Linked DNA regions of Ovis aries. The protein of the gene in region 1 purifies or fractionates together with the protein of each later gene. This does not show direct contact. Links are inferred from orthologs where the notes say so. Each region holds a gene or a part of one and is shown in the gene's direction. Other genes may lie near its edges.

The links.
Region 2: the proteins of COPG2 (region 1) and NUDCD1 purify together in Homo sapiens (co-immunoprecipitation; 3 studies listed by BioGRID and IntAct, with this or other methods). This does not show direct contact. The link is inferred for Ovis aries from reciprocal best matches to the Homo sapiens genes COPG2 and NUDCD1.
Region 3: the proteins of COPG2 (region 1) and COPZ1 fractionate together in Homo sapiens (co-fractionation; 5 studies listed by BioGRID and IntAct, with this or other methods). This does not show direct contact. The link is inferred for Ovis aries from reciprocal best matches to the Homo sapiens genes COPG2 and COPZ1.

What each region holds. Positions count from the first base shown.
Region 1 is NC_056057.1:96,015,122-96,020,059, reverse strand, and holds part of COPG2 (coatomer subunit gamma-2), read left to right. Parts: intron 1-106; coding exon 107-174; intron 175-1,986; coding exon 1,987-2,175; intron 2,176-4,938. UniProt on the Homo sapiens protein: The coatomer is a cytosolic protein complex that binds to dilysine motifs and reversibly associates with Golgi non-clathrin-coated vesicles, which further mediate biosynthetic protein transport from the ER, via the Golgi up to the trans Golgi network.
Region 2 is NC_056062.1:68,042,722-68,047,659, forward strand, and holds part of NUDCD1 (nudC domain-containing protein 1), read left to right. Parts: intron 1-3,927; coding exon 3,928-4,108; intron 4,109-4,938.
Region 3 is NC_056056.1:132,212,994-132,217,931, reverse strand, and holds part of COPZ1 (coatomer subunit zeta-1), read left to right. Parts: intron 1-2,119; exon of another isoform or gene 2,120-2,120; coding exon 2,121-2,189; intron 2,190-3,421; coding exon of another isoform or gene 3,422-3,458; coding exon 3,459-3,540; intron 3,541-4,179; coding exon 4,180-4,271; intron 4,272-4,938. UniProt on the Homo sapiens protein: The coatomer is a cytosolic protein complex that binds to dilysine motifs and reversibly associates with Golgi non-clathrin-coated vesicles, which further mediate biosynthetic protein transport from the ER, via the Golgi up to the trans Golgi network.

The sequences.
Region 1 (4,938 bases):
ATTTCCTTGTGTGCATTTTTAATATGATTTTTCATGTGCTATATTTTCAGAAATATGCTAAATGTTGAAATGAGCCATATTAACAGTGACTCTTTTTCTTTCCTAGTTCTTCAGCTTTTCTGTAGTTCTCCTAAGCCAGCTTTGAGATACGCAGCTGTAAGGACCTTGAACAAGGTAGGGGTTCCCTTTCTAACTATTATAACTATTGTTTTGTATCAGTGTTTGATTGAGAAACATTAAATTGAAGCATTTGGCTTTCCGTCCAAGGTTAGTAGATATGATTTATGGGCTTCACTTCTGTAGCACCTCACTTGCATTTGTGGCCTTACATATGGCTATAGGTAGTAGTATTCAACTAAGGATTGTAATTCATTTCTGACTTTAAACATTTTACATTCAAGAGCCATACCATCCAATATGATGGACATTAGCCATAAGTGGCTGTTTCCATTTAAGTTAATTATAATTAAATAAAAATTTAAAAATTCAGTTCCTCAGTCATTGCAGTCACACTTCATGTGGTCAATAACCATGTGTTGTTATTGATTATGATATTAGACACTGCATATATAAAATATTTCCATCACTGCAGGAAGTTCTCTTGGACAAGGCTGGTCTATAGCAACGCCATCCAGTAGAAACACTTATATGAGTCACTTGTGTAATTTTACATTTTATTGTAGCCACATTAAGTTTTTTTATGATGAGATTTATTTTAATAATACATCTTATTTACCATCACGTTTATAAAATATATCTGATAATTTTATACTGGTTGCATATTGATACATTTTTACCTTCTAGCTTTTCATACTAAGTCTTTGATATATAGTTTATTTTGTATTTAGAGCACACCTCAATTTGGAATAGTCATATTTCAAATGCTTAGTAGTCATGTGTGGTTATTGGCTACCGTATTGGACAGCGTAAATCTGGAGGATACAGTGCAAAGCACAGGATGAATTAAATAACTATGAAAATTGTAAATGAAAGTTTAATATTATAGAAGACTGATCTAATATAGTTACATACAACACTAGATTATAAATTAATTGTATGAACAATTGGAAAAGAGAGAAATTTAGAGCAGCCTTACCGAACAATATGAATTGTATTTTGAAGAGTTTGATATAGGTGTACATTTCTTCATCTATAATCTTGCAGCCAAATGTATCTGAGAACTCAGCAATGTTTGAATTTTAGAGAGGTAATATCATGCCATCTCTTAAATTAATACTAACCCCTTTGTGCCTGGAGCAATTAGACACAAACACGTTAATATTTCTGCTTTATATATATGACTATCCTCACTAACTGGAATAAATTAATACTTAGTTTTACATTAGTTTGGGTCATGTTTTGCTGTGAAGTGAATTTTGATGCCACTCCTTTGCTGAGTTTTCAGAATTTTAGCATTGTATGGTAAAGGATTCTATACCAGTAGTGGGTTAAGCAGAGAGGTGAACATCATCAATAAAAGCAAAGAATCAGGTCAATGACAGACATGTTTTAGTGACCATGGCCAATCCAATTTGGCTGGAGTTTGCTTGCTTAAATACCAGAAGTATTGTAAGTGATACTAAGTTTAAATATCTTTCAGCAATGTTTATCATTCTAGCTCCTACTCTCACAGATCCTAACATCTAGTAGAATAGATAACCATGAACACATGTACTATGAGGAGAAACAGTCCAACTATAGTAAAAGACAGACTATGATATTGTTATAAAGGTTATAGAAACCTATGAAGATGAAGTGCTATGCAGTACTATAACTAGCAGTTAGTCATTTATCAAATAATGTAGCATACTTTATTAATCCAAAGCATTCATCTTGAAATAATTATTTTTTAACTTATGCTGTTTCATTTAGATTTTCAAAAGCCATTTACTTTAATTAAAATTCATATTTTCCTCTTTTATTTTTTAAAATTCTGGTCTTTATGAGTAGCAATTTGTTAAATTTTTTTTCTTGCCCTTTGACAAGGTGGCAATGAAGCACCCCTCTGCTGTTACTGCCTGCAATCTGGACCTAGAAAACTTAATCACAGACTCAAACAGAAGCATTGCTACCCTGGCCATTACTACGCTTCTCAAAACAGGAAGTGAGAGCAGTGTGGACAGGCTCATGAAGCAGATATCATCCTTTGTGTCTGAAATCTCAGATGAGTTCAAGGTAGTTTAAATATGACCCTGTTTTCTCCCAGTCTCTGGCTTACCGTAACATTTCTGTTCTTAATAGTGTCTTTTGATGAACAAGTTTTAAGTTTTATGAAGTCTAATTTATTAATTTTTTTCTTTCACAGTTATTGCTTTCTGTGTCCTCAAAAACGTTTGTCTAAGTCTTCAGGATACTTTGCCATGTTTTATTGTGAATGTTTTACAGTGTTAGCTTTTACATTTTGGGCTGTGATCCAACTTGAATTAATATTTGTGTGTACGTTCAGGTTTTTTTCCATTGTGATTTCCAGTTACTCCAGCATAATTTAAAACAATTCTCTTTCCCCACTGGAGTGCTTGACATCTTTGTCTGAAAAGCAGATAACCATATAACTGTAGGTATGTTTCTGGGATGCTTATCACATTCTGTGGAACTATTTATTGGTCCTATGCCAGTATCATACTGTATGAATTAATGTAGCTTTATGGTACCTCTTAAATGTGTGGTCTCCCAACTTTTTCATGTTTTGTAATATTTTAGTTCCTTTGCTTTCCATATAAAATTTAGAATCAGGTTATAATTTCCTTCTAGGATTATGATTGGAGTTGTGTTAAATCTATAATCAATTTGGGGAAAGGTAACAGCTTAATAATAATAATTCTTCAGTTCATGAATATGGCATATCACTCCCTTTATTTAGGTCTTCTTTAATTTATCTGAGCAGTATTTGGTAGCATTTACTCTAGAGGTCTTGCACATCTTTTGTTAAATTAATATCTAAATATTTTATGCTTTTAGAAATCCATTTTATTAACATTTCTATTTCATTGTTTGCTACTAGTACTATATTAAAAAATACCTTTTTTAAAAACATTCCCATAACTCAATATTCTTGCTAAGTTCCCTTATTTTTTTTTAAGTTCCCTTATAGGTTCTAGTAGTTGTAATATACATCCCTTAGGATTGTTTTATGTAAATAATCGTGTTATTGTGAATAGATACTTCATTTCCACTTCATTTCCAATTCAGGTACCTTTCCTTTTTTTCCTTGCCTTATTAAAATGACTAGGACTTCCAATATGTGTTGAGTAGAACTGGTGAGAATGTGTCAAAAAGGAAATCAAAATAGCGATAGATTTTAGTTAGATGAATTAAAGTTAAAAGATTTTATTCCTTCATTTTTATTTAATTCTCACTCAAGAGGTGTAACTGACCCTATTTACTCTCTTCTTGTATTTACCTACTTTTAAAAAACCAACTTAGCCTGTGTATTCAAGTAGACATTTTGAATCTTTGGGAAACCTTGGGAGGTTATGAAGTTCATTTTGTAGTGTAGTTTGCTGAATGCATCTCCTGTGTGTGAATGTTTGGATACTTTGCAATATTCTGTGATTACAGATAATGTTGCAGTGGACAACCTTATGTCTATGTTTTCTTGAAATTTTGGTGGTGTGTCCTGAGGGTAAATTTCTAGAAGTCCATATGCTAGGTTGAAGAGTAGATAAGTATGTAGTTTCATAGAGAATGTTAAATTCTACCAGCCTGCTTCCCCATACCCTTACCAGTAGAGTACATATATCGTATTTTGAAGTTTTCCCAGTTTTTCCAGATGGACTAGAAAGGGTATCTCAGTGTAGTTTTAACTTGAATTTCTCTTATTATGAGGGAAGGTAAACATCCTTTCATATTTTTAGAGATCATTTAATATCTTTTGAATATTGTCTGCTCGTGTCTTTTCTAATTTTCTGTAGGATTTTCGGTCTTTTGTTTCCTTTATTAAAGTTTTTGTATATTAGAGATATTAGTTCTTTAGCTGTGAAATGTGTTGTGATATTTTCTCCCAATTTGTCATTTGTCCTTTGATTTTCTCATGATACTTTGGTCATGCACAAGTTTTTAATTTTTATGCAAATTTTTTGATCTTTTCTTTTATCGCATTGGGCTTTTGAGTAATAAGAATTCACCCATGTTTTCTTCTAATATATGTATAATTTCATATTAAATATATGATCTATTAGGTTTTATTATTATATTTATACAGAATGAGAAATGGATCTTACAATTTTCCAGTGACTATCCAGTTGTCCACCCCGCTCCCCCAATTTTATTTGAAGGGCTGTCTTTGCCCAGTATTTGAGATACCACTTTTACCATATACTAAAGTTCAATATGTATTAATACTTGTGTCTGTTTGGAGGCTTTCTGTTCTATTCTGTTGTTCTCTTTATTCATAAATCAGTACAACACACTGTTTTAAATATTTATATTAAATATTTTAACTAAATATTTAAAAACTTGTATTAAATATTTTAAAAATGTATAAGGATGTTTTAGTATCTGTTAGTCTCCTCTCAGCTCTTTATTTTCCTTAGCTGTTTTTACATGCTTATATTTCTTTTGAACTTTAGTATTAGTTCATCTAGTGGCTTCATTTAAAAAATCTCATTGGCATTTTTATTGAGATCACATTAAATTTATAAGTTTTCTTAGGGGAGAATAAATAATAAAGTTGAGATATCCTACCCAAGAGCAAAGGATATTTTAAAATTTAAGTCTACTTTTGTACCTTTCATGAATATGGTATTTTTATATTAGATTTGAATGTTTTAAAAATTCTTTTATGAACTTTATTGTTGTTTCTATTATAAATCTTCTTTTATTCATTATATCTTCTAAGTAGTTATTATTCATGTGTATGAGTAGTATTATTTTTGCATGTTAACCTGCTACCTTGCTGAATTATTTTATTGAGTTAGTTTTATCATCAATTCTCTGAAG
Region 2 (4,938 bases), on another chromosome or scaffold:
GCCTCCCCAGACAACCATTTTGGTTTTTTGCATTTCTTTTTCCTTAGGGATGGTCTTGATTTCTGTCTCCTGTACAATGTCACAAACCTCATTCCATAGTTCTTCTGGCACTCTGTCTATCAGATCTAATCCCTTAAATCCATTTGTCACTTCCATGGTATAATCGTAAGGGATTTGATTTATAACTGTAGTTATATACCAGTGTCCACGATGCCATTTTTATTTCAGTTTTTTTTAAACAATATAACAGACTTGAATCTGAGGGGCAGGTTTGCATTTTAGTAATAATAAACATGAAATTAGTTTCTCCAGAGCCACAGGTTTTGAAAGTAGACAGAGTGACACTGAGTTGTGCTAATAAAGTACAACGTGATATTGCTGCCTTCTAAATTTCAGCAGGTGGCCTTTAGTTCTAGGTAGCTAAAGAGATAGAATTTAATATTTTACATCTTATAAAACATTTTTATCAGACCAACAGGTGCCTGTAAACACTGGGCTTTAATTATTTGAGAGAAACAACAAGACCTTAGTGGTTTACCTTTCTTATTGTTATACCAGATCCTGCACTACCTAATTGCAGTGTGTTCAAAAAGTTAAACACAAAACACGATGAAATACCAGAACAACAGCCTGTTTATAGGAGGCCTTTGCAGTCAGTCACAGTTTTAAATATTCATTGGACATTGTGACATATTCTGTTTCTGCCTCCAATAATTTTTTCTTTTCTTTTTTGACTGAGGATATATGGTATATAGCACCCAGCTATCTGAAACAGTTGAAAAGAATTTGGAGAATGATGGACAGGAGCGATATGAATGAGAATGTATCTGTTATCAAGCTATGGGGATTCTGTTGGTGTAAGAAACACACTGACCCTCTTCACCTTCGGATTAAGAATAATACCACGTAGTCCATCAGAAGAAAATTCATATGGGTTTATAATTCATTTGGTTTCTGCTATGTATATCTCCTTAGTCCATATAAGTCCTTCAATAAGATTTTTAAAATAAATTAAAAATTGAATTTACTTCATATGTTCTTCAGTATATATACTGCCATAATGAAGTCAGTCCTCTCTGGGGAGGTGGGGACAGTGGGGAAATTATGGGACCAGGGGGTTAACTGAAGTGGAAGGGATACTGTGGGATAGTGGTCACTTTGAGAGAAATATATGAGTTTTAGGACTTTGGGGGAATTGGTGTAAGAGAGAAGGCTAAAGGTGGAAGTGATGGGGGCATGGTAGGGCATAAGGGGGCCCAGCAAGCGTGGTGGTGATGTCTGAAATGTAGAAGGAGAAGTGAAAGAAGGCAGGGCATGTGTGGCCTCTAACATGATGGGAGTGCTGTGTATCAACAGCTTCACAATTGATTTGCTAGGCTTGTTCAGGGGACTGGAAACGTCAACCTAAGAGTTTCTAAAAGTCCTGACATGGTCTCCTCTGGCCTTACATGAGCGAGAAAGAGGGGGAGGAAACAGGAATCTGGCTACTTGGACTTGGCAAAACTTACCATTTTTTCTTCCTACCCTTTTATTTATTCTTGTCCCCCAAACAGAAGCAAAACCCACTTAACCAAAAATGTGTCTATCTTCTCTATTTTGGGTATTTGAGGGAGGGCTCTCCCCTTACCTATGGAAGAATTTAGAATGGATTCCAAAGGTCTACTGTTTGAATAATTTTGGTAGAGTTGCTCAAACACAAAGGGAAACTAATGACATTTAAGCACATTTTTCTTTTTATTGAACTCTAGTTACAATTTGCAGTGTTTTGTTAGATTTGGTGTACAGCAAAGTGATTGAGCAAAGTGATTGAGTGATATATGTGTATATATATATACATATATATATGTATGTATGTATGTATGTATATTCTTTTCCATTGTAGTTTATTTCAAAGTATTGAATATAGGTCCCTATGTTATACAGTGGGAACTTTTTGTTTACCTATTTTATATATGGTAGTTTGTATATGATAATCCCAAATTCCTAATTTATCCCTCTTCCCCTTTGGTAACTATAAGTTTGTTTTCTGAGTGTTTTCCTGTTTTGTAAATCAGTTAATTTGTATCATGTTTTAGATAAGTGATATTGTGTGATATTCGTCTTTCTCTGTCTGACTTATTTCACTTAAGTTGGATAACCTTTGGGTCCATCCGTGTTGCTGCAGATGGCATTATTTATTCTTTTTATGGCTGAATAGTATTCCATTGTATGTATACCACATCCTTATCCATTCATCTGTTGATAGACATTTAGATTACTTCCATGTCTTGGCTATTTTAAGTACTCCTGCTGTGAGCATTAGGGTAATGCAACCTTTTTTTTAATAAGGCTTTCAGGTAGCAGCCCAGGTGATTCCAGATACAGGTTTAAAAAGAAAAAAAGAGCTAATTCTTGTGTTTCAGTTAGATTTGTATTCAAACTATTTATCTATTTATTTTTTCACTTATTTGAAAAACTTGTTTCGAAATCAGTCTTAAAACCTTTCCTGATCGATATTTAACAAAGATACAGTAGTCTTTTAGATTATGTGTTTTAAGAAGAATTTGATAAGATTTTGTACATCTTTCCATGATGCTTTGATTTGCTTTTTTTTTTTTCCTTAGAAGAAATTTCAATATTTAACAGTTAGTGGAATTATCTTTTTAGATGACATGAGATCTTTTGTTTTAGAACAGTAAGAAAGTTTTCATGATTTGTTCTCCAGTTCCTTTGACTCTTCAGTTCAGTTTAGTTGCTCAGTCATGTCCGACCCTTTGCGACCCCATGAATCGCAGCACGCCAGGCCTCCCTGTCTATCACCAACTCCCAGAGTTGACTCAGACTCACATCAATCGATTCGGTGATGCCATCCAGCCATCTCATCCTCTGTCGTCCCCTTCTCCTCTTGCCCCCAATCCCTCCCAGCATCAGAGTCATTTCCAATGAGTCAACTCTTCGCATGAGGTGGCCAAAGTACTGGAGTTTCAGCTTTAGCATCATTCCCTCCAAAGAACAGCCAGGGCTGATCTCCTTCAGAATGGACTGGTTGGATCTCCTTGCAGTCCATGGGACTCTCAACAGTCTTCTCCAACACCACAGTTCAAAAGCATTAATTCTTTGGCGCTCAGCCTTCTTCATAGTCCAACTCTCACATCCATACATGACCACTGGAAAAACCATAGCCTTGACTAGACGGACCTTTGTTGGCAAAGTAATATCTCTGCTCTTGAATATGCTATCTAGGTTGGTCATAACTTTTCTTCCAAGGAGTAAGCGTCTTTTAATTTCATGGCTGCAGTCACCATCTGCAGTGATTTTGGAGCCCAAAAAAATAAAGTCTGACACTGTACCTTTGTAAGTTTCCAGAAAACAAACAACACAAAGCAAACAAAAACAATAGGAAAGAAAGATATACGCACATATATACAAACAGTATTCAGAAACTAAGAAGAAGGCAGAAATAAATTAGAGATATGATTAATATATTAACATATAATATAAATGACTATTATAAATGGATGGATATAATATTATACAATATATTAATATATCTCAATAAATTAGATATGAGACAGGGGAAGAGATGCAGTAAGGGAATATTGACCTCATTTCCTCTGTACGGAGCACTCTTTTTCACTTGGCAATTCTTTTCTAGAGGATTGCTTTTAATTCCCTTTCTCTTGTAGATGCCATTTGGAGGCCCTTTTGTTTTCTGTGCTTACTGATCAGTTTTCTCTGTTAAACAAATAGATGTTTTCTAAAAGTTATTTCTTTAAGCTGTATTTTAAACTTATAAGCTTTATTTCAGGGCTTTTCTGTTCTTGTGTCCTTGCAGTAAACAGTATCCAAATTACTTGTTGGATTGTCAGAATTCTGTGTATTTCCTCTGTGCTCTATGCATTCATGTAATACGTTTTTGTGAATGCCATCTTTTTTTCTTTTTTGTAGATTGTATTTAATGAAGAGCTTGGGAGTCCTTTTATCATAATTCACAGTATCTCATTGCTGAAAGCTGAAGAACATGCAATAGCTACTCTCCTCCTTCGAATAGAGAAAGAGGAATTGGCTATGAAAGGAAGTGGTTTCTATGTTTCCTTGGAGTGGGTCACTATTAGTAAGAAATGTGAAGGTAAAACAACAAAATTCTGATCTCTCTGCAGTGGTTGCCATAATTCAGTAGGTTTTGAAATGCAAAGCTGTTCCTGTAAATGCTGTTTGCTTTTTCTTAAGCATTGTGTTGTGATTCTAGTACCTGCCACCCAATGGAATGAATATTTATAGGTAGTTTCTCCTTAGGTATGGATTATTTAAAAAAAAAAAAATTATGTGCTTCCACAGTTGAATACACCTTTTTTGTAAAAGGAGACACTACTACATATTTTGGAGAATTTAAAGTGTATGTTTTTAATATATACAAAATATATGTTAATATGTAACATTAAACACAAGATTTGTTCTTCAAAATATTTAGTGTAATTTGTTCTTTTTCCCGGTGTTGTGGTTTTAGCTCTAGAGGAACACAGTAACTTAAATCTTTAGATTAGATATTGGAAACTTTCTAAGGGCTGGATGGTAACCATATGACCTATCGCAGTTATTCAGCTAGGATCTTGTGCTGCAAAAGCAGCTGTAGATGAAGGCATAAATGAATGAGTATAGGTGTATTCCAGCTGTATTCCATTTACAAAGACGTAAATGAATGAGTATAACTATTTATTAACACTGACGTTTGAATTTTATATAATTTTATGTGTATTTAAATATTCTTTTGATTTTTTTTTTTGAACCATTTAAAAATGTAAAATTTATTCTTCAGCTCACAGGTCATAGTTTGCAGATCCCTACTTGAGATAAATAAAAGCTTTGTTTTTTTAAATTAAGGTACATAGCATAGAAGAAATCGCCAGGGGTGTTTTTCCTTCTCTGAGGCTCTTGGCTCCGTGACAGCTTTCGCTCAGT
Region 3 (4,938 bases), on another chromosome or scaffold:
ATGTTTCTATTTTGGGGGTTTCCTTGATGGTGCCTTCTAGGAAGCCAGTGAAAAGAGCCGGGAACAGGACCCAGGCGTCTGTCCCCTCTTTGCCAGTTGTTTTAGGCACTCTCTTTCCCTATTGGCCACAGAGGATTGTCTGGCTCTCCGACTTGGCTGATGGCCGTAACCGTCTTCCTCTGCTTTGGGATCCGGTTCTTTCTAGAGATGCCAGACTCTGCGGCTGCAAGCATGAGTTACCTGTGCCAGATCAATGCCCGTTTAAGCCATTGGGAAGCTCTCTAAGGTTGCAGATAGCCTGAACAGAGCCAAAGATTTCCAGGGAAGAGGCTGTGGGAAAAATTTCTTCTGAATTCCCTTCCTGATGGACTTCTTTTCCTTCGTTAAGGAAACTCATTCCCCTGATGTGTTCATCAGAGGAGGATGAGTTGGTAGTAATGTCACCCAAAAGGGCCACACCAGAAAATCTACCTGTATGCGGAAGCCTGATTATAAGAGAAATCCCCTAGATGCTTATTGCATCAATAAGTTTTTATCTTACTCTCAAAGTTCATTTATTCTCAGAATCATTCAATAAATTTTGAGAATTTAGTATGTGTATTATTCTGGACACTTGTAATAAATCAATGAATGAAATAAAATTTTCTTCCTCAAGAATCCAAGTGGGGAAAGCTTACATTCTTCATCACTCTGTTCTCAAAATACTGGGTTCCCTTTCCTCTCCTTCTGAACTCCTTGAACTCAGGTTGGTTCTTTGCTTGGAACCATAAACCTCTTGGAGCCTCATAGGATAGTTTACCTTGGTAGAAGCTACAGATCCTTGGCAGCGATTCTTTCCTCCTCACCTTTGGGTCTTTGTTAAATGTATGCTTGGAGAATAGAGAATGTGTTTGGCCCTGTGAGAGCTGTGGGTTTCCTAAGTAGGATCAGGAAATGGAGGTAGCAAACCATCAGCCTTGTCTTATAGCACAGGAGAAGGATATGCATGGTAAGTAATGTTGATAGTCAGGACTGTGTGCCGGCAAACGCTTTCATACATGTACCGCTGCCTCCCTTCCCTTCTTCCTTTCGTGTTAGTTGGTTCCCTGGAAGTTGCAGAAGTGGAGGAGCTTTTACAAAGTGATATGCTTTGAGTTTGAGTGTAACCATTAAGGCTGAGATTCTTGATTTCTTTCTTTCTCTCTTTCTTTTTTTTTTTTTGTGGCCGTGCCGTGTGGCATGCAGAATCTTAGTTTCCCAACCCGAGACAAACCCATGCCCTCCACAGTGGAAGCATGGAGTCTTAACCACTGGGTCACCAGAGACGTCCCTGATTTCTTTATGAGAGCCAGTTTCCTCAAAGGTTGATTCTTGGTGGTGAAGGACCACTCCTCTCCTGCTCCTTATCTGCAGGTTTCACAGTGTTTCTTAGATGGAGCCTCTTCTTACTGCTTCTTAACGACCCCAAATTCAGATTGTTTTTTGTCTTGGCAAGTTAAGTGGTGGCGGTCAGGGTAGAGTAGGGGAGTTGGGATCCTAGGAGAAGTCTTAGAAGATGGATGTCTCCCTGGGCTGCATTCAGAACTGGTGTGTCTGTGTGTGAGTGTGTACATGTGCGCATGCCTGCTCCTTCCCCTCTGCTCAGTGAGTGGGTGGTTTAGGGAAGGCTTGCTTTATGCCTCTGCATTGCCACTGCAGCAACTTCCAAGTACACTAGGGCATTCAACCCTGTTTTCCTATAGCCCCGTGCAGTGCTTATTAATTAATCTGGTCACATTCCATACCCACCTGTGCATGGGAGACCAGGGAGGAGGGAGAGTAATTTGGAAAATAACTATAGCATAATATTTGGAAATAACAGCATGACCTACTTTGACTAAGCCCTCTGTGAGTCTGGCTCATAGAAATTGTTTCTCTGGCACTGCTCTGGGTCCTTTGTTGAAAAGTCCCCTCCCTCAATTCAGTTCATTTGTCGCTCAGTCATTCTCAGTGGCAAATGTCAAAATCTAACCAGGCTGGGATAGGGGACATACAGAGACATCTCTAACCCATTGCAGCACCAGTAGGATTAGGAGAAGGTATCTGGTTTGTGAGTGGTGGCAAGAGCCTTCAGGACTGAAGATGTGTTCATATCTCTTCAGGAACCCTCCCTGTATACCGTCAAAGCCATCCTGATTCTGGACAATGATGGAGATCGACTTTTTGCCAAGGTGAGATTCCCTTTCAGATTAGTTGAGAAGCAAGACAGAGTTTTGGATCTTGGGACTGGCCCCATTCACTCCTATTCATCCACAAATAATTTTGAGAAATCTTCTATCTGACTACTCCAGATAAAACCTAAACTGCTCCTATCTGTTAGTTGCTCTGCTTCCCTATCCACCCATCCTTAGACTTTGTCATCAACATCAGAAGAGAGAAAAGCTTTGGAGCTTGGTTTCTGAACAAAGAAGTGTATGGATGTAAGAAGCAGCCTGCCTAGGCCCATCACCCCTGTCCCTTTCCCTTCTACCCCATCATCCTGCCTGAGTTTTTCCAGGGAATTCTCGTGCAGTTCCATGGTTCCAGCCCTACATCCGCAGTCACCACCAAGCTTGCTACTTCCTGACTTTCCCGGTCCGATGTTTCTAACTTTGGATCCATTGAAAGAGAAGAGGAAGGACACCCCTCTCCTCTCTCTCCATATTCTCCCCCTCCTAGAGAAATTTTTTCTGTCCCTGGTGTATTAACTCCGGGCAAGCATCACATAAATCAATCAGCAGGTAGAGATTAGTTTAGAATTCACCAGCTGTTCCTCCCTGTAATTGGATGTAACTATGCAGGACACCTTTTGAAACAGTTATCCAGTTACTAAATGCCAGACCTGTCATAGGTCTTCAGCTGACTGCGACGGATTAGCCCCTAAAGAGCAGAGCGATTTAGCAGCCTGCATCTCCGCCCCCGTGCCAGGGAGAGCTTGGGAGTGGGCTCCATGGTGTGCTAGCTTGCCTCCCGCTTGTTTGAGTTTGCTGGAAAGGAAGCTAAAATACCAGAGAGCCGAGAGCCCAGGCAGAGCTTGTCCTTCTACGGAGGAGGGTTTTGCAGCCCTTCCCAATTCCTCAGCTTTGCTCAGTGAGTGAGGGCTGGTGCCTTCTGTGTTCTCTAGCAGTGCTCCCTGACCTGGTGCCTGGGGATGGCCTCAGGGCTGCTGCTCTGGCGTACAGATGGGGCAGAGCCTCCTCACAGGGCTTCTAGGCCTTTTGCCCTTCCAACCTGGGAACCATGAGGTAGGGTGGCTTAGAGCAGGGTCCTTAAAAAGTTTGTTTTCTATCCGATTACTCACTGCTCATTCCCTACCTCTATGGTTCTCCCTTCTTCCTGTCAGTATTTCTCTTCACCCCATCCCTTGAAGGGGAGAAATCCAAGACCCAGGGCAAAACAGTCACTAATCATCCTGCGCTTCCAGCTCTAACAGCCCAACCCGTCTCCTTCCCTCTGACCAGTACTATGACGACACCTACCCCAGTGTCAAGGAGCAAAAGGCCTTTGAGAAGAACATTTTCAACAAGACCCATCGGACTGACAGTAGGTCGTTTTCCTTTTCACTACTCCCCGTGGTGGGTGGCCAGGGGGAAGCCACAGCGGGAAGGGGGCAGCAGTGGGACTGTGGAGAAAGGATAAAATGACTCTGCCTCCTTTTTCTCTTTTTTCCCTCCTCCCCTCATATAATAAACTCTTCAGAAATGTAATGGGGAGGTGAGTGTACCTCACGCGGGAATACCGTGCTAGAAGGTTGGCTGTTAGCTACCTGTCTAGTCCCTGGATTTATGAGCCTCACTTGACAAATTTAACTGCAGCTCTGCTTATTGTACCGCATCCATTAGGGCAGGTAAATGGAAGTCTGTAAAGGTGACCGCTCTGCATTTTCACCTCCGAAGGATTGACTAGTATCCTGTCTCATATGCAAGGAGGGAAATAAGGGTAGTAGGGGCGGGGAGCAGTTAAAGAAGAAGGTGCTTAGACTCCCCCATTCATACTTGCCTTCTGTTATCATCTGAAAAGAAAAAGCAGGTCAACTTTGGTCTTGAGGGGGGCCATTAAGACCCACCTTCTGTCAGCCCCACGTAGCTGAATACTAATTCATGGTAAGTCCCTCTACCCTAACTCTTTAAGTCTCAGACCACCCACTGTTTCCACCTTTGTTTCCCCCACCCATCCCCACAGGTGAAATTGCCCTCTTGGAAGGCCTGACAGTGGTATACAAAAGCAGTATTGATCTCTATTTCTATGTGATCGGCAGCTCCTATGAAAATGAGGTGAGAATCCCCACACTCTGCCATCTCTGCTCTCACTTCCTGAACCACTGGCAGGCCCTTGTGACTGGTTCTGGGCCCAAGGACTGCCGTGTGCCTTTGGCTTCTGACTGGCTGATGAAGTTGTCCGAGATCCATGTCAGCCTCACAGACATGGCCGAGCAACTAAATCAACCTGGAATGGAAGCTTTCCCAGCTTTCTCTCTGTGTCTGCGTAGGACACACTGTCTGTGTTTTGATAACATACTAACATACAGTATCAATGGCCTTCCCTGCATAGTGTTTTGAAGATGGATTTCTGAGTTGTGATCAGGGTTTACCTGTGAATGAGGCACACCTGACTGAGTTTGGGCCAATTAAGCAATACTCCGGGTCATATTGAAGCCATATAGTCTGAGTAGCTCTTTGAAGACTGGGTATAGCCCTAACCTGCTTGCCGTATGTAGGAAAAACTATTTACCTCAGGTCACAACTTTAAGGAGAGTAGATAAGTAAAAATAAGCCTCCACATAATTTGAGGCAAAAGTCACAGTTTGAGAAAACCAGTTCTTACTGAATTTTTACTGCTGTAAGTGCTTTGTAGAATGCATTATTATTTAAACCTTGTAGCACTTCTATGAGTTTTGGGCACTAGTGCCCTCGTTTGATAGATGATTAAACTAAACCTTGA